Lonchura striata: one gene and its partners. The protein of the gene in region 1 interacts with the protein of each later gene in a biochemical or structural test. Links are inferred from orthologs where the notes say so. Each region holds a gene or a part of one and is shown in the gene's direction. Other genes may lie near its edges.

Region 1 (7,283 bases):
AGAGTTATCTCAATCTGAGTAAAAGTCTACTTAGTCATCTATGCATCTGCCCCACTGCCTGCAGCAGTCCTGGAATATTGCAAAGCACTTCCCTTTTCTGTAAATTGCAAACAATTCCATCAAAATAATTTCTGTCTAAACCTTCTGGGTATGCTTGGGGAGACTCCTATTCATCTCTCTCTATTGAGATATGCAGTTCTCCTTAATTTATTATTGCTACTTTTACTGAATGCTGACAATGTACTGGCACAATGTCCTGTCAGCAACTGGTGTGCTGAAAATAGAGTCTCTAATCTAAAGAGCAGTGGCACAAAGTCCTGAAAACACTTAAGGCCTTTCAAAGTAACTAATATCAGTATATAAACAGATGCATTTTCATCTTTTAAAATGTCCACAGAACATAATTTCTTATACTAAAATAACTGCTGAGTTACCTTATGTTATTCTTCTTGGGATCAAGAGAGGTTTATGTTGACCAAGTTACATCACGGTAATATTTATCTCATTCACACCTGTGAACCAAAGCAATTTGGAAGGCTTCCAGTTCCCTTCTCACACAGCTTTGCATCTTGTCCCAGATTGCCATTCTGTTTATGCAAGTGACCTGTATTAGGGTCACAGTGGGCTGTCCCCTCCTTGCTTGGCACTTGGCACACTACCAGTTGTCACCTCTTTGTGTTCATCTACTCCAAGAGTCACCATACTGTGTGTTTTCTATGCAGTCCCAGTTGTCTCCATGCTGTCTGAAGCCATGCTGGAGCCCTTGTCTCACACTTTAGCAAGGAAAGGGGTGCATTACCTGCTCCTGTCTCTGCATTGCTTAAGACCCTCCTGAAATGAGTTCAGAGAGGTGGTGAAAACAGGACATCCCTGAACCACACAAAATCACAAAGACTTGGCAATTACAAAACAAATAATTAATCCAGGAGTGACCTGAACATCTGGAGAGGACTCCAGCACGGATCATCATGCTGTCCATATGCACTGTGTACCACAGAGCACAGAGATGTCCCTGAAGGGAATGACACCATGTGCTCTTTCCAAGAGGCCTCTCAGACAGATCTTTCTGCTTCACAGACAAATCCTACTTTATTTCAAGGTCTACAAAGCCTGTTTTTCTATTTTCACAGTGACAGACACTAGCAGCTTGACTGGTAAATGCATTTTCCAAGTTCTCCTGCTTCTCTCAAGCCACAGGATGTTCAAGAGGAGAAGTGTGGCAAGACACAATGTCCTCTACAGCTACTGCCTTCCCCAGCCACACTACTTCCCTCACATCCAATGTGCACCAGTTCTGCTGGAGTCTCTTAAAGACTTTCCCATTTCTGAGGACCCAAAAACTCTCTTGTTCTTCACCACCCTGGATTAAAGCCAAGTTGCTAACCAAAAAGGGAGTTTATTAAAAAATAAACATTGAATGGTCTCATTACAAAGTACGTGCTGCATTTTGATCATACAAGGAATTAAATCACAAAACCAGTGTGAGTTTGTTATCTTGACAAATCTTAGGAAGACATTTTCTCTTCAGTCAAAAGCTCATTGTGGCTTTTTTCCTCCTTTAGTAAGGCCTCATAAAGGCTTTTGGATATCAATGAAAATCTTAAAAGGCTTTACTTAACAGTAGAACCTTAATCAATGTGGTTTAAAAGGACTGTGGTTACACATAAAGTACAAGGAGACAGTACCTTGAAAGTGCAAATTAGTGGGAAGAAACATTGTTACCTCTCCAGCCTCCTTAAATTCGTTGAATTAACTGCACAGAAAACTTGAAGCATGTCTTCATCCTCAATCTGATTGTAAAAAAGCACATATTAGTTACACAAAGTAACCTCTCAAGAGACATTCAAGTCAGGGTCACCTCCTCTGTCACTCCTGAATTGAAGCTGTGCCCTTCCAACCACATGAAGAACAGGAAGCCAGACATCACTAATTATGGCAATCCTATCTTCCCTCTGTTTGCAAAAAAAAAACCCAAAGGTGTTGGTTCACTACACAAAGTGTAGTGTAAAAGCTGCCTGTAAAATTTCAAGCATTCAACCAGCCTTGTCTACGTTCACCTTCTCTGAATGCTGTGGTTGGTTAGTTACCTGGGCTCAGGGCCTTTTGCCTCACACAGTCTCTCCATGCTAGCATGGTAGCAAATCAAGCTTGGAAAAGTATTGAAAGAAAACTGGAAGAGCTTTATCAACACTAAAATCTCCCAAGACTTGAATAAAAACTTCTATGGAACTTTCCAAACTTATACAGTTGCTTTTTCCATTTTTGCTGTTTTGGAAACCAACCAACAACTGTTTATATTTCATGATTAAAGAGTTTATGCTTGCACTTTCCCTTGTTGCCAGTGTCAGGAAAAACTGAGAGTGTAGGGATTGTGCAAATGGTTCTAACAGAGTGAGATAAAATAAGAGAGAAATCAAAAAAAGAACCAAGGGGCTAAGAAGACACCACTGTTACACAGCAGAAAAGGAATGGGTTAGGATGTGCTACAATCTAAGCTAAAAGCTTGAAGAAAAGTGTGAAAAGCACATAGAGTATAGCCCACATAACCACCAGTGTCCAAATATGTCCATTTGTTGCGTATCATAACACAAATAAGCCTCAAGTTTAAAACTCACAAAATATGGCATGTGCATTGTTCTCATCTCTGCCTGATTACAGAGACAAAACACATCCATCAAGCTGACTGAGGTGCATTATTCTACAGAATTCCATAATTCTAGAGCTCCTCTCCTCTCCTCTCCTCTCCTCTCCTCTCCTCTCCTCTCCTCTCCTCTCCTCTCCTCTCCTCTCCTCTCCTCTCCTCTCCTCTCCTCTCCTCTCCTCTCCTCTCCTCTCCTCTCCTCTCCTCTCCTCTCCTCTCCTCTCCTCTCCTCTCCTCTCCTCTCCTCTCCTCTCCTCTCCTCTCCTCTCCTCTCCTCTCCTCTCCTCTCCTCTCCTCTCCTCTCCTCTCCTCTCCTCTCCTCTCCTCTCCTCTCCTCTCCTCTCCTCTCCTCTCCTCTCCTCTCCTCTCCTCTCCTCTCCTCTCCTCTCCTCTCCTCTCCTCTCCTCTCCTCTCCTCTCCTCTCCTCTCCTCTCCTCTCCTCTCCTCTCCCGCTGTCCATGGTGATCCATTACGGATTTGGAAGTGATGCTGTTTTCTTGAAAAGCAGCAGCTAACAGATGGCATGAGAGAAACCATGGGATTCTGTTAGTTTGATTTTCAGGAGAAAACTTTGGCTGCACATGCAGCCAGGAGCCACAGGCATAATCCCAGGAAGGAGGGAGCAGTCTCAGCAGCAGCGTGCAGACACACGGCAAGAGCTCCTCCATCACATGGAGGCACTGACCTGCCGGGGAGCAAAAGCCTGTTTGTTACCATGCCTGTGTTTTGTGCCAATTAGGAGGCAGTTACACTGAAAAATGTCTCTTTGATGTAAATCTCTTCAGGTAGTGAATGTTAAACACCACGCACCGCTGGGTAGGTATATGATTTTGCAGGATTGGAGCCTGCATCCAGGAGTAATTAGCAGGACTGTGCCAATCTTCAGTCCAATGTACTGGACTGCTAGGGCTGCACAGTGGGATACCGTAATTAGCAGAGATGCAACACGCAAAATAATTGGGAGGATAAGGAAATGCCACTGAAGTTTATATAAGGGGGAAAATTTCCTTAGATCTAGACAACCTCGTGTCACCATGAAACTTTCCACTCCTCTTTGGCGGGGTGTGCCGGAGCACAGCTATTAAAAGGCGGTTAATTTCGGTTTCGCTGTGATGTGGCCGTCATTACCTGGGGAGCGAGCAGCGCCCAAGACCCTCTGCCGGGGGGACGGACGGGGATGGGATCAGGGATGGGGACGGGGATGGGATCAGGGATGGGGACAGGGACAAGGGTTAGGGATGGGGATGGAGACAAGAATTAGGAATGGGGATGGGGACAAGGGTCAGGAATGGGGACAGGGACAAGGGTCAGTGATGGGGACGGGGACAAGGGTTAGGGATGGGGATGGGGACAAGAATTAGGAATGGGGACGGAGACAAGGATTAGGAATGGGGACGGGGAAAAGGGTCAGGGATGGGGACGAGGACAAGGGTCAGCGATGGGGACGAGGACAAGGGTTAGGGATGGGGACGGGGACAAGGGTTAGGGATGGGGATGGGGACAAGGGTCAGGGATGGGGACGGGGACAAGGGTCAGGGATGGGGACGGGCACACGCCAGGGGAGCTTGCCCCGCCCCGGCGCCGCCCTGCCTCTTTCTCTTTAAGTTTTCCTTTAAGTTTCACTTTCGTTCCCGAGCGGCCGGACCCGGCACCAAGGCAAGCCCCGGGCCTTTCCCAGCCCTTCCCCTTCCCCTGCCTGCCCCGGCTCCTGCCCGGCTCCTGCCCGCTTTCCCCCGGGCTGCGCATCCCTTGCTGCGCTCCCTGCCCTGGCCGCCCCCGCTGCTCCTCGGCCCCTCCGCCCGCGGCCTGCGCGCTCGGTTCTCTTGGTGTGTGTGCGTTCGAGGTTCTCTTGGTGTGTGTGTTCGAGGTTCTCTTGGTGTGTGTGTTCGTGTGTGTGTTCGCCAAAGCCGAGGCTGGACCCGGCTGTGGGAGCTGCTCTTCCACCCGGGGAGCTCCCAAAGCTCTGGCACCCCCGCTGCCCGGCCGCTGCAGCCTGCTGGGCCCTGAGCTGCTGCTGCTGCGGCCCGGTGTCCGGGGTGGTTTTCTATGAAACGTGTGCTCTTCTCGGTGAAGGCGTGATAAATGCAAATTTAATCGGCCAAACTATGGGAAAGGGGCAGGAATCGCTGCTAATTTCCTGATGAAAATCCGGAAGCAGAGACCAGATGTTTCAGTGCATCCGGCCCCGAGTGAAGGTGCTGGCGCAGATCGTTCTGCTGTGCTTTCCCGACTGCTTAGTGACTGAATTACAGCCACCATAGGAAATACGCAGGATTCTTTGTATATGCAAATGAAAACACAGGGGCCCTTGCTTTCATCCCAACATGCTTCTTTCTAGACCATGGAAAACTGTCTGGGAATTACTTCTGTGCTGAGGACAGCTCACTTGGGCACATGGCAGGGTACTTGGGACTACCGTGTGCAGGCCAGGTGTTGGACTTTGATGACCCCAGAGGGCCCTTACAACTCAGAATATTCCGACTCTATGTTATTATTGTATTCTATGATTCTGTGATCTTCCACCATATAATTATTCTTGATTTTGCTTTAATCTGCATTTTTGGGAGTGATGTTAGACAAGTTCCTTTTGGTAACTGGCACAAGAAAATAGAGATGGCTGAACATGTGCAATGCCACAGAAATTCAGGACCAGAAATCCATAGCCACTCTTTCTTGAGAAAGCATTATACAATAAAACTGCCTAAAACCCTCACATGTATCTTCTATAAACCAGGCCATAAATAATCTGGTTCATAGAATTATCTCTAAAATGTCAGTGCTCACTGAGGGACGCTTACATTCTTGCACTTTCATTTGTAGATGTCAGAGGATCAGCATGGTGATGTCTCTGCTGGAGAGGGAGGTGATGAAGATGGCAATGATGTAGTTGATGCAAGGCCAGATAGACGCAGCAGGTTCTCACTTTTTAGAACGTAAGTTCCTATTGTACTCCTGTTTTTGTTGTTGTATCAGCTGCCATGGTACCCTTTTAATCAAAGAAACACAAAAAGTCTTGATTTGGTGTTCAGTTTGCCATGTCCACAATGTTATTGATGGTCTGGATAGAAAGGTGGTTTATGTTGTATGAATTTAATGTATCTTGTCTGTACCTTAAATCATTTCTTTGTAATATCCCCTAAAGGGAAACCTATAATGTCTCCCATAAGTTTTATTTGGCAGCTAAGAGACCACCAAGTTCATTTAGCATCAATTACAGTCCCACATCTTAAACATTGACCTTTGATGGAGCTGGGAATTGAATATGCCATTAATTATCTATTTTACTGCACTCAGCTCAGCTAATCTCCAGCATCATTGGAATCTCCTGCTGACTGTCTAAGTTACTTTAAAGCCTGGATGTGCCATCTAGGTTGTAGCACAAAGAAGCCTCCCCAAGTCTAGAGATATAACCCCTTACAGAACACATTAAAAGCCTTTAATTTTAAAGCATTGTAGTCTCACTGAAGCATAAGCTTACTTTCATTAAATCAGTGGGAAGCAAGAACTATTTACTGCTCGTCTGTACTCCTGAAAATACTGGAAAATTTGATTAGAAATGCAAAAAATGAAAAATGAACACGCAAGGTTTATAAATGCTGTTGAATATCAGCAAATGGCTACTTGACATTGGATTTATTGAGATTTTGCAGGAGAGATTTGATGCAAAGTCTAATGCATTTACAGAGAGGTTTTGAGTTTTTTTACTATTGGAAGTTTACATTAAAGTGAGCATTATAATTCAGAGAGTACATGGTTAATATACTTTTATTTTTGCTGTTTATTCTATGAGTTTAATAGGGGTAATTCATGAGAGAAGTGAAAATGTTCTACTCTTAGAAGACTTTTGATGTGCTGTTAAGCAAATCACTGTACTTTGTCTCATTTTATCATTCCTCAAACATGTTTCATTATGTGTATGTGTATTATTAATTTTAACAAGTAGACAAATGTAACATTTGTTTCTAAATCTTGTAAAATATTTTTTCAAATGTTTCTTTTCAACTTCATAAATTGTGTGTTTTGATATTTGATTTAGTCTTCTTTATAAGAGGTGATATGCTAATACTATTATTAAATTATGCAACTCAAAGTTAATAATTTCCAAAGAAAAGGCAATAATCAGCATTTCTATGACTTTTTCTATAAGAAATATTTCAAATAATTTGGCTATTCATCAGTTTGAGGCATTCATCTTTTGGGAACTCCTTGAAGATGCAATTTACAACATTTTTCTTTAGAAGTAAAAAAATTGCTCAGATTAAATATGAGGTAATTGAGAGAATTCAACTTAGATTTTGAAGAAAATACTTTTGAGAAATATAACAGAGTTTCTTGAAGAAGGTAGTGATTTTTTTAAAGAGGAATGAGGTGCTTGACAGTTAAGGTATTTATCTTTGTCCTACAGAAACTAAAAGTCTTTGGTCTGAAGGAAGATATGGGAAGAATATTAGAGGATAAAGGAAAATGGAATCTGATCTAAACTATGATTGTAATAAAGGAGAAAATTAAGAGAGAATGATCTTTGTTCCTGGCAGGGAATCTAGGGGACATCCAATGAAAAGTTCGTGTAGTAGGTTTAAATCAAGTGTTAAGCTGCAATTTTAACATAGTGCAGAATGTCACTGCAGCCAGGGGATATGCA
Region 2 (7,934 bases), on another chromosome or scaffold:
TCACCACGGGCCGAGCGCGCGCGGGGCATTGTGGGAGCGAGGCCGCGCCGAGCCCCGAGCCCGCCCGGAGCCGCCGGAGCCGCCGCCGGAGCCCCCGGAGCCCTCCCGGAGCCCTCCCGGCACCGCCCGACCGCCGCCGCACCGCCCGCACAGCCCGCGGCACACACGCCCCGCAGGAGCGCCCCGCCGGAGAGACGTCGCCATCCGCCATGTGAGGGCCCGGGGATGGGAGCGGCGCGGGGCAGGCCCCGCCAGGCCCCACCGGGCCGCGGGAGCCGCCCCGGCGCCGCCGAGCGAGCGCGGGCTCCCGCCGCCCGCTGACCTTGCGGCGGGCTTGCCTCGCTTATCGGCTGGGCCCGGCTCCGGTTACCGCGTGAGGGCGGAGCGCCCCGGCTCGGCCGCCGGCCCCGGTTGCCGGCTCGGCCCCGGTGTCCCGCGATGAATCTCCGCGCGGGATGAATGGGGCCGCCGCGCGGGTGGCGGGGGGTGTTCGGGGGTGTTTGCGCGTTTCTCGGCCACCGGCACCCGCCGAACGGTGGCGGCCGAAACCGCGGAAAGCTGCCGGTAAGTAACGCGTGGAACAATCCAGAGCGCGCAGGCGAGCGGATCTGTTGGCGAACTTGGGGTTTTTCTGCGGGAAATCCATCCCCGCGCTTGGCGCTGTCCCTGGGAGTGTCCGAGGCCGGGCTGGACCGGGCTCGGAGCAGCCCGGTCCGCTGGAGCGAGGTGGGATTTAAGCTCCCTTCCAGCCCAAAGCGTTCCAGAATTCCATAAAAAAACCGAGCAATAGCGAAAAGGCCCCTCAGGATGGGGTGGAGGCTCACGGAAAGCCCCGGGGCTGCCGTGGTGCTGCTGTGCCCGGTGCAGGTGAGCCGCTGGATCTCCTCCCCCACGTGCATCCCGAGCGGAATCCCGCGCTCCCGGCTCCCCCGGAGCTAATTAACCCTAATTAATCGCCTGCCTTCAGCCACCCGAAGCCAGCTCGTGGCAGAGCTCTGGTGGACGCGAGCGTTTCCTCAAGAAGAGCCGGAGTTTTCCACGTGCAGGGTGGAAAACGGGCTGGGAAAGAAGAGCTGAGCTGCCCTGGGAGCTGCCGGCAGCATTCCCACGTCTCCAGCGGCAGAACGAGGGTTCCCAACTGCCAGGGAGCAGCTTTGGGTGGGATATTGGGGAAAAAATTCCTCCCTCTGAGGGTGGTGCAACACTTGAATGGATTTTCCAGAGGATGTCCCATCCCTGGAGGTGTCCCTGCACATGGCAGGAGGGGCTGAATGAGCTTCAAGGCCCCTTCCAACCCAAACCATTCTGTGACCTCCACGGGCCTGGCTGGGAGGATTGGAGGCAGTAGCACTTCCTGAGGTTTTGTTTTGTCAGGAATTTGGGCTGGGGACAGCGTTGACTGATGGTTTTTGGGCCCTTATCCTCAGCCAGGCTTTTACTTTTCTTCTGAAGCCCTGAACAGTGGAGATGCTTCATCTTAACGTGAGTGAAAGTGAGAGAAGTGTGATCACGTTGGAGTTTTCTCGTGTAATTTCTGTAGATTTCAGCATCCTGAAACTGCAGCGCTGCTGCATCTGCATAGAATTGTCTAAAATCTAAAATGAGGCTTTCTTAAAATGGGGAGGAAAAAAAAAAAAAGGCGCCTTTCCAGGGTGTAAAAATGAAAGGAAAAGTCATTTTGTAAAACAGGTTTTATTGCTGTCTGGGAGGAGGAAATCTTGTTGAGGGCCTGATTCCTGCAGTGTCCTCGAGCTGTGGGAGCTGTCAGGATACTTCCAGGAGACAAAGCTGGGATTCCATAGGCTCGGGATACAGGCAGAAAACACAAGAACAGGTTTGGAAACTTCCTCGATGCCACAGATGGAGAGATTTGAGATTCCCCTGGTGAGTTCAGCGTGCCAGAGACCAGGAGAAATCCAGGGATATCCAGCAGAGCTCCCTGGATCAGGAAGAGCCTTGAGGGCTCTGTGGTCAAGCTGAGCCTCCACGTTGCCCATCAGTGCTGCTGGGAAGCTTCTAGAACTTGTTCCACAGTGCTGGAATAACGATTGGAATGTGGGGATTGGAAGAGCTGCAGTGGCTGCTCAGGAAGTTCCCAGAGCACAGGTGGATGGGACAGAGGAAATCCTCACCGGAACAGAGCGCTGGGAACCACCCAGGAATTTAAAAGGGTTCTAAATTCCCTTTTAAACCTTTAAATCCCTTTCTGTTTTCCAAATCCCATGCTGGAGGGGGGGTGCTGGATAACCAAAACACCCTTGGCAGGAGGCTGAGCTCCCTCGGAGTTGGGGTGAGCAGGATGGAGCTCCGACAGGCGGTGGGGCAGTGCCTGTGAGAGGAGATTTTCCACGGGTGTGTGGGAGCTCTGGGAGCACGTGCAGGGCTCCCCACGGGCTGCTGCTGTTTGGGGTTGTCTCCTGGGAATCTCCGTGTGGGCAGGAGACAGAGAGGAGCTGCGGCTTCCGCCTCATCCCAGCTCCCCGGCAGGTCCTGCAGTACTGGTTGGAACTGGTGAGTCCTGACTGGAGCTGACTGGGAGGTTTCCCTCCTGCCTTTGGGAGGATGAGATTGGAAAAGCAGATAAAAGGAGGAGAGGCAGCTCCAGCACGTTCCGAGCACTCTGGGGGTGAATTCCCAGGAAAGCAGTGCAGGTTTAGGCTCAGAAACCTGGAATTATGAAAATTAGGATTTCCAGAAACATGGAACTAGAATTATGGCAGAGTCAGACAGATTTCTGGGAGGTCACGGGCTCTGAGCTCTCTCAGGGTGAATTCCTAGGAAAGCAGCACAGGTTTAGGCTCAGAAACCTGGAATTATGAAAACTAGGATTTCCAGAAATCAGAATTATGGCAGAGTCAGACTTATCTGGGATCTCACTGCTCTCTGCTGCTGGGACATGTGTGTGTAGCCTTGAGCTGAGTGGGATTTCTGGGAGGTCATGGGTTCTGAGTGCTCTCAGGGTGAATTCCCAGGAAAGCAGCACAGGTTTAGGCTCAGAAACCTGGAATTATGAAAATTAGGATTTTCAGAAATCAGAATTATGGCAGAGTCAGACTTATCTGGGATCTCTCTGCACTGGGACATGTGTGTGTAGCCTTGAGCTGAGTGGGATTTCTGGGAGGTCACGGGTTCCGAGCGCTCCCGGGGTGAATTCCCGGGAAAGCAGAGTGTATTTAGATTCAGAAATGTGAATTCTGGCCAAGTCAAACTCATCTGGGGTCTCGCTGCTCTGCAGCTCGGGCGTGTGAGCCCTGTGGGGTTTCTGGAAGCGCTCTGAGTCCTGGTGCTGCCTCAAACCCCCGATCCCAGCCGAGCTGCCGAGGTGTTATGGTTTGATATTGGTACCATGTTAGTGTTTTTATGAAAATGTAATTTTTTAATTGAATGTTGTGAAATGGAATTGAGAATAGAGTAAAGCAGGCTTAAGTTTAATAATAAGGGAAAAAATATTAAGTTATTATTATAAAAGAAAGGAAAGGGAAAAAATATATAGATTAAAATGAAAACTTTGTAAAATTTTTTTTATTATTTAATTTTTATAAGTTATACTGAGATATCATTTGGATTTTAATTAGGTTTTTAATTTTTAGAGAATTGATACTTAGTTTATTGAGGGAATAGAGGTTTTTTTGTGTTATAGAGTTTTAAAGAAATTCTACTTTTAACCCCTCTATATTCTCAAAAACATGTCCACCTTCAATTACTCAATATCTAAATTAACCTCTTCTTTCCGAAAAAAAATTCTTTCTCCATGTCAAACCACAACACGAGGTCACGCGTTCCGAGCGCTCCCGGGGTGAATTCCCAGGAAAGCAGCACAGATACAGATCCAGAAATGCGAATTGTGGCCGAGTCAGACTTAGCTGGGATTTCGCTTCTGTCCAGCTCACACGTGTGTGTGTGTGAGTGTGTGTGTGTGTGTGTGTGTGTGTGTGTGTGTGTGTGTGTGTGTGTGTGTGGAGCCTTGAGCCCAGGGCGGGTTCTGGGAGCGCTCCGAGTCCTGGTGCTGCCTCAAACCCCCGATCCCGGCCGAGCCTCCCTGGGAAGGCTGGAGATGTCTCCATTGACATTGAGAGCTGGGAAGTGTTAACACCATTCAGCCCCTGCGTCACCCGGGCAGGGACACTGAGATTTCTGTTAATAACGGGGCTGGAGCCACGTTCCGAGTGCCCCACGCTGGGGGGTTTTGTCTCCTGGCACAGAGGGAGCAGAGCAGGGCATTTCTCATCCTCCTTTCCTCTTGGGAGTCTTTCATTCCCCCTTAAAAGAGGAAATCTGTGTCCAAGAAGAGTTTAAAAATACCACAGTAAAAAAATTGCTGCTCTGCTGCTGCACTTCACCTGAATAAGGTGATAATTAACATTCCGTGAAATGCTGCTATGAGGGAAAGCAGCGGGTTTTCACCCCTGGAGCAGCTGAAACTCAGGGCTGAATTCAGAATCCACTTTTTTTTATGCTCTTGGAAATGAAATCCTTGGACATTGGTCTCTGCCCAGGTGTTGTGGCACCTACAAGAGGTGTTTGGGCTGCCCAAGGCATTGTGGCCATCCTGCTGCCTTTCCCTGAGTGGCACCAGTTTGCCCAGGACCTGTGGCACTGGGGGAGCTCAGAGGTGGCTGGTTTGGGGTCCAGCTGGAGCTGGGCTGGGCCATGGTTGGGTTCATCCCTAGGAAATGTGGATGGGAGCAGCAGGAGCCTTTGGTTGAGTCCCTTTGCTAAATGTGCCACAGCTCAGTGCCAGCAAATAATGGCTGATGAGGCGAGTCGAAATCTTCATCTGGAAGTTTAGCAAAGGTTACCTTAATAAATGGTCTGAAAAGTTGTTTTTTGGTCAGATATTGGTTTAGAGAGAGCAGCACAGAGGGCCTCAGCTACTGTCACAGGCCATGTCACATCAGCTTCCCTGTTTAAATCCTTGTCCAGCTCAGAGCCTTCCACCTCATCCCACAGCTGGGAAAAATTCCTCCCTGTGAGGCTGGTGAGGCACAGGAATGGCAGATAAAGGGGGAGATAAGGTTAAAAAGCAGATTAAGATGGGATATTGGGATGAAATACCTCCCTGTGAATCTGGGGATACCCTGGAATGGATTCCCCATCCCTGGAAGTGTCCAAGGCCAGGCTGGACAACCTGGGCTGGTGAAAGGCGTCCCTGCCAGGGCAGGGGGTGGCACTGGCTGAACTTTGAGGTCCCTCCCAACCCTTCCACCGATCTCAGGAAGACAAAGGAGTTGAGGAACACCCTTGGGCTCTGTGCCTCTGCAGCAGCCCTGCTGGGAGGCCTTTGCTTCTGGAATGCAGCCGTTCCCTGGGCTGGGCCTGGGAGGGGGAGGAGGTGTCTGAGCCCTGCCAGCTCCTTTCCCCGCTCCACCGAGCAGTGCAGGTGAGTTCTCAGGGTGGGACTGCAAACACAGGAGTTGCTCTGGAGCTCTGTGCCTTTCCCAGCTCCCCTGGACATGCTCTTGCTTTTTGAGGTGCAAAGGCAGAGGAATTCCAAAGTGTGTGGCAGTCCTGGTGTGAGCACTTGTAAAAGCTTGGAGCAGTGATTCTCCAGCCTGTGCTGGCTTAATTGGGTCTTAATCATAGCAGATCCATTTTTTTATAGTATCAATACCCCAAAAAGGGTTTGGTTTTTTTTCTGGTAGTTTTACTTTAGGTTTTAACTCTTTGCGTGACGAAAACCACTCTGAAGTCTGCCTGTGCAGCTGTTGGAGGTGGTGGAGCTGCTGCCATAATCTGTAGTATCTCATCTTGAAGTTTATCATAATTTTGATCTGCTGAAATGTTGATTTCAGTCTCAGATTTCAGTGGCTCCTCCCAGGAGCTTTCTGGGGGCGTCACACTCCAAATGCACCAAATACATAATTTCTTTTGATTCCAGCCCTCTCTTTTCAGTTTAAAGCAACTTTAAAAAATAACAGTAAGCTCGAAATGAAGGTTTTAAGTGCAAAAAGCTTTTTTTTTCCCCTTGGATTTCTTGATGAAAATCAATGCCCCTGTGTCCCTGCTGTGCCCACAGGCAGCCTGCCTCTGCAAAGTGGTACGACCGGAGGGACTACGTCTTTATCGAGTTCTGTGTCGAAGACAGCAAAGACGTAAATGTAAATTTTGAAAAGTCCAAACTCACGTTCAGGTGAGTAATTCCGGCACAGGGAGCGCTAAGGAGAAGCAGATTTGTTCTATGAGATGTTTTTTGGGCTAAATACTGATTTCTTTTTCTCTTGCAGTTGTCTTGGAGGAAGTGATAATTTTAAACATTTAAATGAAATCGATCTTTTTAATAATATCGATCCAAATGTGAGTATCCTCCTGACTCTTCCTGAGTTCTTGATGCTGGTGAGGGGCTGGCACAGCTTGTCCAGAGAAATTGCAGATATTCCATCCCTGGAAGTGTTCAAAGCCATGTTGGAGCAACCTGGGCTGGTGGAAGGTGTCCCTGCCCATGGCATGGCTTTGGAACTTGGCTTTTAAAGTCTTTTCCAACCCAAACCATCCCTTGGTTCTTGGATCCTAAAAAATACCATCTGTTCTTTAGGCTGCTCCCAAGATTTTATTCCTTTAAAATAGGAATATGGAATATTTTCTAAGGGGAATTATTCCTTAGAACATAAAAGCTCAAAGTCAGATCCAGGAAAGATTCTCTGGGGGGGTATTTTTCAGGACAAGGAATAAGGGAAGAGGTGAAGATAAAGGAAGGATGTCAGCAGTTCCTGGTGAAGGTCATCCTGATGGTGCTAATGGATATTTGCTCTTTTTCAGGAATCAAAGCATAAAAGAACAGACAGATCCATCTTGTGTTGTTTACGAAAAGGAGAGTCTGGTCAGGCATGGCCAAGGTTAACAAAAGAGAGGGCAAAGGTGAGTCTGGGCATCTGCTGCCTCCCCTGGCTTTCAATTTAGTGAATATTTGGGTCATGTTCAAACTCTGGAGCAGTTTTGGGTCACTTTCCTGCTCCTGATCCCACGGCAGCTCTTGTTAACCTGTTCTAAGTGACAACCACTTCCTTGTCCTTAAATAATTCCTTGTCCTTAAATAACTCTTGGGTCTTGCTGCAGCTCAACTGGCTCAGCGTGGACTTCAACAACTGGAAAGACTGGGAAGATGATTCAGATGAAGACATGTCCAATTTTGATCGCTTTTCTGAGGTAGGGAACTACAAATTCCTGGAGTTTTGGGAGTTGCCAGGCAATGAATCCTAGCTTTTTGTGCACCATCACTTTGTAATTCCTGCATGGGGGCAACTGATCTGTTACAGCAAGGGGAGGGCTGTTGGTTTTGGGTTGTTTTGGGTTGGATTCACTCCAAAGCGTGGCTGTTCTGTCTCTGAGCAGATGATGAACAACATGGGAGGAGACGACGACGTAGACTTGCCAGAAGTAGATGGGGCAGATGATGTGAGTATGTGGGTGCAGTGAACACCTGCAGGGCTGGCTCAGAAGTCCTGCACTCACCCCTCAGCACCAAAAAAAGGCTTAAATAGCCCCAAACCTTGTTTGCACAGGTGATGTCACCTGGGGAGGCCCTTTCCCTCCCCTCTCAGCAGTGCTGAGGGTGCTGGGGACACCAGTTTGGGGTGTCTGTCTCTCTGCAGGGATTGGGGGTCACTGTGGGTCTAAAGGTGCTGGGGACACCAGTTTGGGGTGTCTGTCTCTCTGCAGGGATTGGGGGTCACTGTGGGTCTGCAGTGAGGCCAAACTGAGCTCCCTGTGTCATCTGGAGCTTGGAATTCCTCAAAATCCAGATTTGGGAACAGCAGCTCTCTGCTGGCAGGGGAGAGGGTGGGTCTGCTCCACTTAAAGGTTGTTTGTTCTCCTTTGCAGGACTCACCAGACAGTGATGATGAAAGTAAGTTGTTGTCTTTGTTGTTTTCCCCTCACACACCTGCTGAAGGCTCCGAGCCGCCCTCGGGCAGGGCCAGCAGATGTTCATCCTGGCT
Region 3 (7,177 bases), on another chromosome or scaffold:
GCACTTCTGGCAGATTCCCTGTAAATCCCCACTTTTAATATTGTTCACAGGGACTCACTGGATTTCATAACATAGAACCATAAAACCTCCAAGATATTGATTCTGACCATTAATTTAATACTGCCAGCCACCATGCTGCTAATCAAACTGGAGCAGGGCATATGCTGACAGCCCTACCACATGGCCAGTGGTCACAAGAGTGAACATGAGCTGTAGGGCTCAGCTCTGAGAGCCAGGTACCACCCATCACCATTTCCACTCCCCTGGGCTCAGATGAGCTCTGTCCAAGATCCAATCTGGCAGCTGAGCAGAGCAGCACACCTCTTGGCATTCACTGGGGTTTCATAGGAGTACAGAGCAGGCAGAACGGCATCCATGTGCAGAAACATGGGGTTCACCCTAGGAAATAAACACCACCAGGAACTGGCTTAAGTTGTCAGCTTCTGAAGAAGCAGGTGCCAATCTCCAAGTCCCTGCAGTTTCCCAAAGTCTGGCTCAATGAATTCACCACCATTCAAGTTATTGTCTCTTTTTTTTCCCTGTTAAATGAGGAAACTTTACACTGGGAACAGATTTCTGAAGACCTACAAATAAATTTTAGCACCCAATGAGTTCAGCAGAGCCCCTGCTGTTAGTTTCTAACAGCTTTTATTTTTCTCTAAAAATCTAGCTCTGAACAACTTCCAAGAGATTAATTGACTTTGTAAATGCTGCTTGTTACGGTCCTGATTCTGTACCTCTTCTTTGCACTGAGCAACACCTCTCTCCCTACCTGTAATGAAGCCATCAGGAGGATGATCTTTGTGCTCTGTGAGGCAGACAGACAGAATCAGGACATGTATAGTGATACTTGAATGTTTATAGCTAATTTTTTTTGTTAGGTTGTGTTCGTTCTTGCCTGCTCATGCCTGCTATAACTCTAGCAGAGGAATTCCAGAACAAACACCTTTGTAAAACTGTTTACACAAATCTGCATTTGAATGTAAATTCAAGTTGCTGTTTTGGTTTATAATTTTTTTTTTTCCACTTCTGTACTTTAAAGTATGCTCAAAAGTAGAAAATTTTACTGTGCAACACTTACTGTGGCTTAAATGTGTCCTGCAGTGATGTCCAGCCAAACAATATGTTGAAGGTTCTTGGATATTTCTCAGTAATTTCTTTGTTTTCCTCAGTCATTTGAAAGCACACACATAAACCACAAATGCAGGACTAAGCCCTTATAGAATTTACATCATATCAACAAACAAAATTTCCTTCTCAAAATCTCCAATTCGAGTTGGCAAAAACAGATTCTCTAAACACTTTCATCTTCTGTCCCTTAAACTTTAAAATTGGGGTCTCCTGTTCTGTGCAAAAATAGTGTCTGTGCAGAATTTTAGCTCTCTGTGTACATATAAAATTAAAGTCTTTCACTCAAAATGCACTATTAAGAAAGGAAATTATTTAGTACTTCACTTCTAGGTAGCTGATGTTTTCAAATCAGAGTCATAAGTATGTTTTGACTGTAGAAACTAGTTTACCAAAGTGATTATATTAATAATAAAAAACCCCAGCTATTTGTATGAATCTTCTGGCACAGTTCATTTCCTCTGTCCCGCTCCTCAGGGATCACGAAACGTCACAAAAAGCAGCAAGTTTACCACTGCCTGCCTGTGCCTTGACACCTGTGTTGACAGACAGCATCTGTGTTGGGCTGAAGCACTGGCAGGAACAGAGTTAAGCAACAAAATTAACAGATCAAGTCACTGAGGCAGGGATGTTCTCCACTGAGTGCTAAAGGCCCTCAGGTATGAAAAATCTGGATTATAAACTGAGGTAGCAGTTGGGAACTGTCCTAAATCCAAAAGCTTGAAAGGTGACAAATACAAGGTTAATCTTTAAAAACTTTCCAGATAACTAAACAGCTATGTCGGCCACACAACATGAGTGAAACTGTTGAAACTGTTCTAAAAACAAAACCAGGAAAGTGTCCAAACAGAAAAGAACATGGAAGAATTTATACTGTTATTTCTTTTTCCCACAAGAAAAGTGTACCTTAGGAAGGTTTCTGAAGGACTCAGTGCGTAGGTAAGAAATATGGATGAATATAACCTGCTTATATTTTCATAAGATCTTTGAGAAGGTCTTCAGTTAAAGCTTCTTAAGGAAATGAAATCACCATGGGAGAAGGAGTTCAGGGAGGTTAAATACCTGGTTTAAAGACAGTGAAAAGTTGTCAGATTTCATGTTGATAGTCACTCATGGGGTGCTACATGACTTGGAGGACATGCTTGTCCTTGCTTTTCACTATTTTATCTAAGTGTTGTGAAAAAGAGTGGACAAGTTGAGTGACAATCTTAAGCAGCATGAAAAATCAGTGACAAAAGACAAAATTTAGTATTGATACATTTACAGTACTACATGTGTAAAAAAGCAATCCTAACCTTATATGTATAATGCTGTCTAAGCATCTCTGAAATGGGATATTATTTATAATACTTTAATGACAACATTAGCTCCAGTGTTGTTCAGTGGGCAGAAAGGCAATAAAATATTAGGAATCGGTGCAAATTAAGAATAGAGCAAAACAGAACACCACTTAGTCCCATTACATAAATGTATGGGGCACTTGCATCTTGTATACAGCATGGATCAAATCTCCTGACCTCATCTAGCCAAGCAGCACAAGAACAGCACAAAAGAACAAGAAAGGGAATCAGTATTGTAGAACAGTTTCCATATGAGGAATGATTTCCTCAGCTTACGGCTGGGAAAAAATAGGAAGGACAGTTGAAAGCAGGTAGGATAGCAGTTTTATAAAGGAGAATTTGAGTGGAGGAGGGAATAGTTTGTCCCTTTTGAAGAAAGAAATGAGCTGTGGGAGTGTTACATACATGACAGCACAGCACAGGAAGTGGCTCCTCATGGGGTGGACTTCCTCTGTGACTCCTGGGCTGAGGATACTCCAAGCTCACAGAGGTCCAGAAACCAACAGGAAAAATACAGAAGGGCAAAAAAATTAAGGGCTATTAAAGGTGAAGGCACCCCAGTGACTCTCTCAAAAAACTGACCTGAAAAGCAGCGATCAAACATTTTGTGTGGGGAAAATGCCACAGTACATGGTGCTAGGTAGGTCAGGGGTTTGGAGCATCTGTCAGACTGTGGTGGGGATAGGAGTGCTGAGACAGCTGGGGCTCATCAGCCTGGAGAAAGTGCCTCAGGGGCTCCCCACAGTGTGTGCAAACAGCTGATGGACGAGTAGCATGGACAGAGTCGGGTTGTTCTTGGCAGTGCCTGCTGAGATGACCTGAGCTGATGGGCACAAAATTGACACAAGAAATCTCCATTCAAACACTGTACCTGTGTTGAAGCAGCCGCAAACATGAGTAGAGACTGGGAGAGCCCATGGAGAGTCCCCCTCACTGGGGCTCTTGTGGATGAAAAGCTGGACATGAACAAACTGTGCTTAGAGTGCAGAAAGCTAACCTGATCAGAAAGAGCGTGGCCAGCAGGACAAGCAAAGTGATTCTGCCCCTCTATTTTGCTCTGTTGACATCCCCCCTGGAGCACTGTGTCCAGCTCTGGGGCCTCCAGCACAAGAGTGACATGGACATGCTACAGCACATCCAGAGCAAGCCACAAAGATGGTCCGTGCAGGGGCTGGAGCAGCTCTCCTAGAAGACAGACTGAGCTGTGCCTGTTCAGCCCAGAGAAGACAAGGCTCTAAACAGACCTCACTGTGGCATGCCAGTACCTAAGGGGGCTTATAACAAAGAGGGAGAATGACACTTTACAAGGATACACAGTGATAGGAGAAAGGGGAATGGCTTTAAAGTGAACGAGCGTGCGTTTAGAATAGATTTTATGAAGAAATTCTTTATTGTGAGGACGGCAGCACAAGCGGCATGGGTTGCCGAGAAGCTGTGGATGCGTGGATGCCCCATCCCTGGCGGTGTTCTGGGTCAGGCTGAATCTGGTCTAGCAGAAGGCGTTCCTGCCCACAGGATCTTTAAAGTCCCTTCCAAGCCAAGCCACTCGGCGACCCCCGGCGCCTGGCGCTGGCTCAGCCCCTCTCCCGAGCCGCGGGACGCCGCTCCGCGCCCCCCGCCCCTGGCCGGGCGGGGCCGGGCCGGGCTGCGGGGCGTTCCCGAGCCGAGCCGCGCCGGGCGGGGCCCGGCCAGCCTGACCCAGCCCAGCCTAACCCAGCACAGCCCGGCCCAGCCATGGCCATCGCGCACATTGCCACCGAGTACGTCTTCTCCGACTTCCTGCTGAAGGAGCCGCCGGAGACGCGCTACAAGGGGCTGCGGCTGGAGCTGGCGCTCGACAAGATCGTCACCTGCATCGCCGTGGGGCTGCCGCTGCTCCTCATCTCCCTCGCCTTCGCCCAGGAGGTCTCCATCGGTAACTCCCGCGGCGGACAAAGGGCCCGTTGGGCGGCGGGGCCGGGCGGGAGCGCCGGGGCTCGGCTGCCGGGGGCTCCCGCCCGGGGCAGGGCGGACGGGCCTTTCCCGGAAAGCATCCCTGCCGGCAGGCTCATCCAGGTGTGCTGGGCTTCCCGGCCGGCCCTCCCCGCGCTTTCCCGTGCCCTGCTCCTCGCCGGGGCATTCCCTGGCCGCCGCCGTATCTTGCTTCTCCCGTGGGAGCGATGGAGCGCTGAAGCCGTGCCGCCCTTTGTTTCCCAGCGCGGTTCGGACCGCAGCAGCCAGCCGGGATGTGCCCCGGGGAGTGCCCGTGTGCCGCCGCTCCTGGCGCTCGGGATGTTCGGCGTTAGGATCTGGGTGTCGCTCAGCTGTCGGGGACAGGTGCCGCGGAGGAGGGCTGGCAGAGCTCTGCCTTGCGCTGCAGGCGGCTCGGTGGGGTGGTCACCCGCAGGATGGACAGTGAGAGCTCTCTAAAGCTTTCCGCTGCTCCTCTCCCCTCCTGCAGCTCTTCCAGTTCAGTTTTCAATTTCTGCCGTGGCTCGGTAAACGAAACTATGCTTTACAAGGTAAAAGGCCAGGTTCTCCAATGATTTCACTATATTTTTATTTACCCACCTCCCCAAGTTACAAAAGTGATTACGCAGCAGCCCTTGGTGCGAGGAGTGGAGCTAAATGATCTTTAAGGTCTGCTCCAACCCAAGCCTTTGTATGATTTGCTAATATGAATGAAGATTTCAAAGGTATATATGTAATGCTGTGCATTTGGAGACTGAATCACAGGATTTCCAGACTTTCAGAGAGATAGTTTGATTTGCTGCATGTACCTGTTTATTGGCATTCAGTGTTATATACCTGATCTCCATCATATACAGGTTTGGGTCAAGTGAATGTCAGGAGAGTGGAAACTGGAATGAGACTTTGGATGAGTGGTGAATCTTTGCAAAGCCATCATGAGTAGCATTAGTCAGATACCAAATTGCTTGAGAGATAAGATGCCCCAGATTGCTGTATTTATAAGCAGCTACACCCCTGTTGCACCTGATTGCTGTGGGCCGCAATAACTGCGTAGGGAAGTGAAGGACAACCAGACTGGGAATGCTGAGACCAGATCTGAACCCCGTGGCAGCTCTATTCACCCAGAAACTGGATGAACATCCATCTTTTGGCACTCTACTGTTCTTCTTCTAGTTTAAGACCTGCTACTAATAGATGCACATTGCTTATTCTTAAAGGAATGAAAAAGAGGTGTATTTCCATACAGTAGCTTGTATATGCGCCCCTTAATTCTTTCTACGTCTACTCTAGAAGTGCTGGATCCAGTTTGAAACACTTGAACAGTACCCAGTTGAAGGCTGGGTACTAATGTTTCTTTTATTTTTTTTCATTTTACTCCCTTACACAAAGATTAAACACACAGTTGAACTGCAGAGTTTGGAAAAGTGTGCCTTTCTTTCAGATGAGTTAAGTTTTTGTCTTTCAATTATTTCAATATTAAAACTATTTCAAATTGAATCTGTGAGTGCAGTAGATTAATAAAGGAAGAATGGAAATGTGGGCTGCATCGCTAGTGTTTTTTTTTGGTTATAATCCTGAGAACCTGTTAGAAGAAAATATTGGGTTGAAAACTGGGCTTTTTTAGTTGAAAAAATAAATATGCAAATAAATTTGGGAAGTACTTTTTATTGTTATTTCCGGACATGGGTGAAACTGCACCACGTGTTGTCCATACAGAAAGTGATAGTAAATCAGCCATGCTGCTGTGACAGCTGTCACCTATTTCCCACACAGTCCTTGCAGCAAAACAGGCTGGCTGCTTATAGGACAGCCCAAAACTGCTCCCATTAAAGCATTTGGAGGAACACTGAGGATTTTAGGGGCTGGAAATGCCTGGTTGTCTGTGCTGTGGTGTTCAGCCGGTGATGAAATAGACAGCAAAGTTTGTTTTCAAACACTTTGTGATATAATCATGCTCTGAAAAAGCCCAGCAGCACTAGACTGAGCGAAAATGTCAGGGTTCATTTTTACATCTGAAAAATAGCAACTCAGAGGTGGATGTGAAAATGTTTGGTGGAAATACCTGCCTCAGAGTACAAAAACTGAACACCCTTTCCAAAAACGAATGCTCAGCTTCTATTTCTGTTGGGATAATTGCATTCCTCCCACCTCAGGTTCTCTTGGCACCTCATCCTGTCCCCTTCCCTTCCTGCTCTGCTTTCCTGTTCCATTGCAGTGTGGTGTCAAGACACCTGCAATTTTCCTCCTACACGCGGTTGCTCTTAATTGTGCAAAATTATTAAAATGTATGCAAAGGCTATGGAAGTTTTCTGAAGCCACCAAGTAACTTTTAGTTTTGATGGGAGTTTCAGGAAATAAATGAGATTCCAGTTGAATGACAGAGGATTTCTCTGCTGGAGGCAAGGAAAACCCAGCTGTAACACCCAGCCAGTGAGCAGTGCTGAAATCCTGGGGTTAGTGCCTGCACCGTGCTTTGAAATTCTTCAGGGTCAGGAAGAGAACTAATCTGAGTTTACTGTTTGCTATATTTTAGAAATCCATAGTCAGTTGTAATTTTCTGAGGATTTTAAGCTGGTTCTGGTAGTAGTTAAGCAGTGGCTGAGCTGTTGTCTGCTATCCCTGGGAATATTTGCTATTTGAAATCCTGCACCTGTTACCTCTTTGCACTAGACCTTGTTTTATACAATTTTACATAGTTTTATGCAATTTTATATATACTGGGAATGGGAAAATGTAAATAACAATAGCATTGTGAGGAT

The links. The genes of interacting proteins can lie anywhere in the genome.
Region 2: of the proteins of CASP7 (region 1) and PTGES3, one has a biochemical effect on the other in vitro, tested with the Homo sapiens proteins (2 studies listed by BioGRID and IntAct). The link is inferred for Lonchura striata from reciprocal best matches to the Homo sapiens genes CASP7 and PTGES3.
Region 3: of the proteins of CASP7 (region 1) and PANX1, one has a biochemical effect on the other in vitro, tested with the Homo sapiens proteins (2 studies listed by IntAct). The link is inferred for Lonchura striata from reciprocal best matches to the Homo sapiens genes CASP7 and PANX1.

What each region holds. Positions count from the first base shown.
Region 1 is NC_134609.1:24,509,403-24,516,685, forward strand, and holds the start of CASP7 (caspase-7), read left to right. Parts: upstream 1-4,269; 5' UTR 4,270-4,297; intron 4,298-5,461; coding exon 5,462-5,574; intron 5,575-7,283. UniProt on the Homo sapiens protein: Thiol protease involved in different programmed cell death processes, such as apoptosis, pyroptosis or granzyme-mediated programmed cell death, by proteolytically cleaving target proteins.
Region 2 is NC_134629.1:5,675,240-5,683,173, reverse strand, and holds the start of PTGES3 (prostaglandin E synthase 3), read left to right. Parts: upstream 1-4,922; 5' UTR 4,923-5,987; coding exon 5,988-6,130; intron 6,131-6,224; coding exon 6,225-6,294; intron 6,295-6,756; coding exon 6,757-6,855; intron 6,856-7,053; coding exon 7,054-7,143; intron 7,144-7,329; coding exon 7,330-7,392; intron 7,393-7,818; coding exon 7,819-7,843; intron 7,844-7,934. UniProt on the Homo sapiens protein: Cytosolic prostaglandin synthase that catalyzes the oxidoreduction of prostaglandin endoperoxide H2 (PGH2) to prostaglandin E2 (PGE2).
Region 3 is NC_134604.1:39,428,551-39,435,727, forward strand, and holds the start of PANX1 (pannexin-1), read left to right. Parts: upstream 1-4,165; 5' UTR 4,166-4,202; coding exon 4,203-4,383; intron 4,384-7,177. Other genes in the region: ferroxidase HEPHL1, read left to right, coding at 1-24. UniProt on the Homo sapiens protein: Ion channel involved in a variety of physiological functions such as blood pressure regulation, apoptotic cell clearance and oogenesis.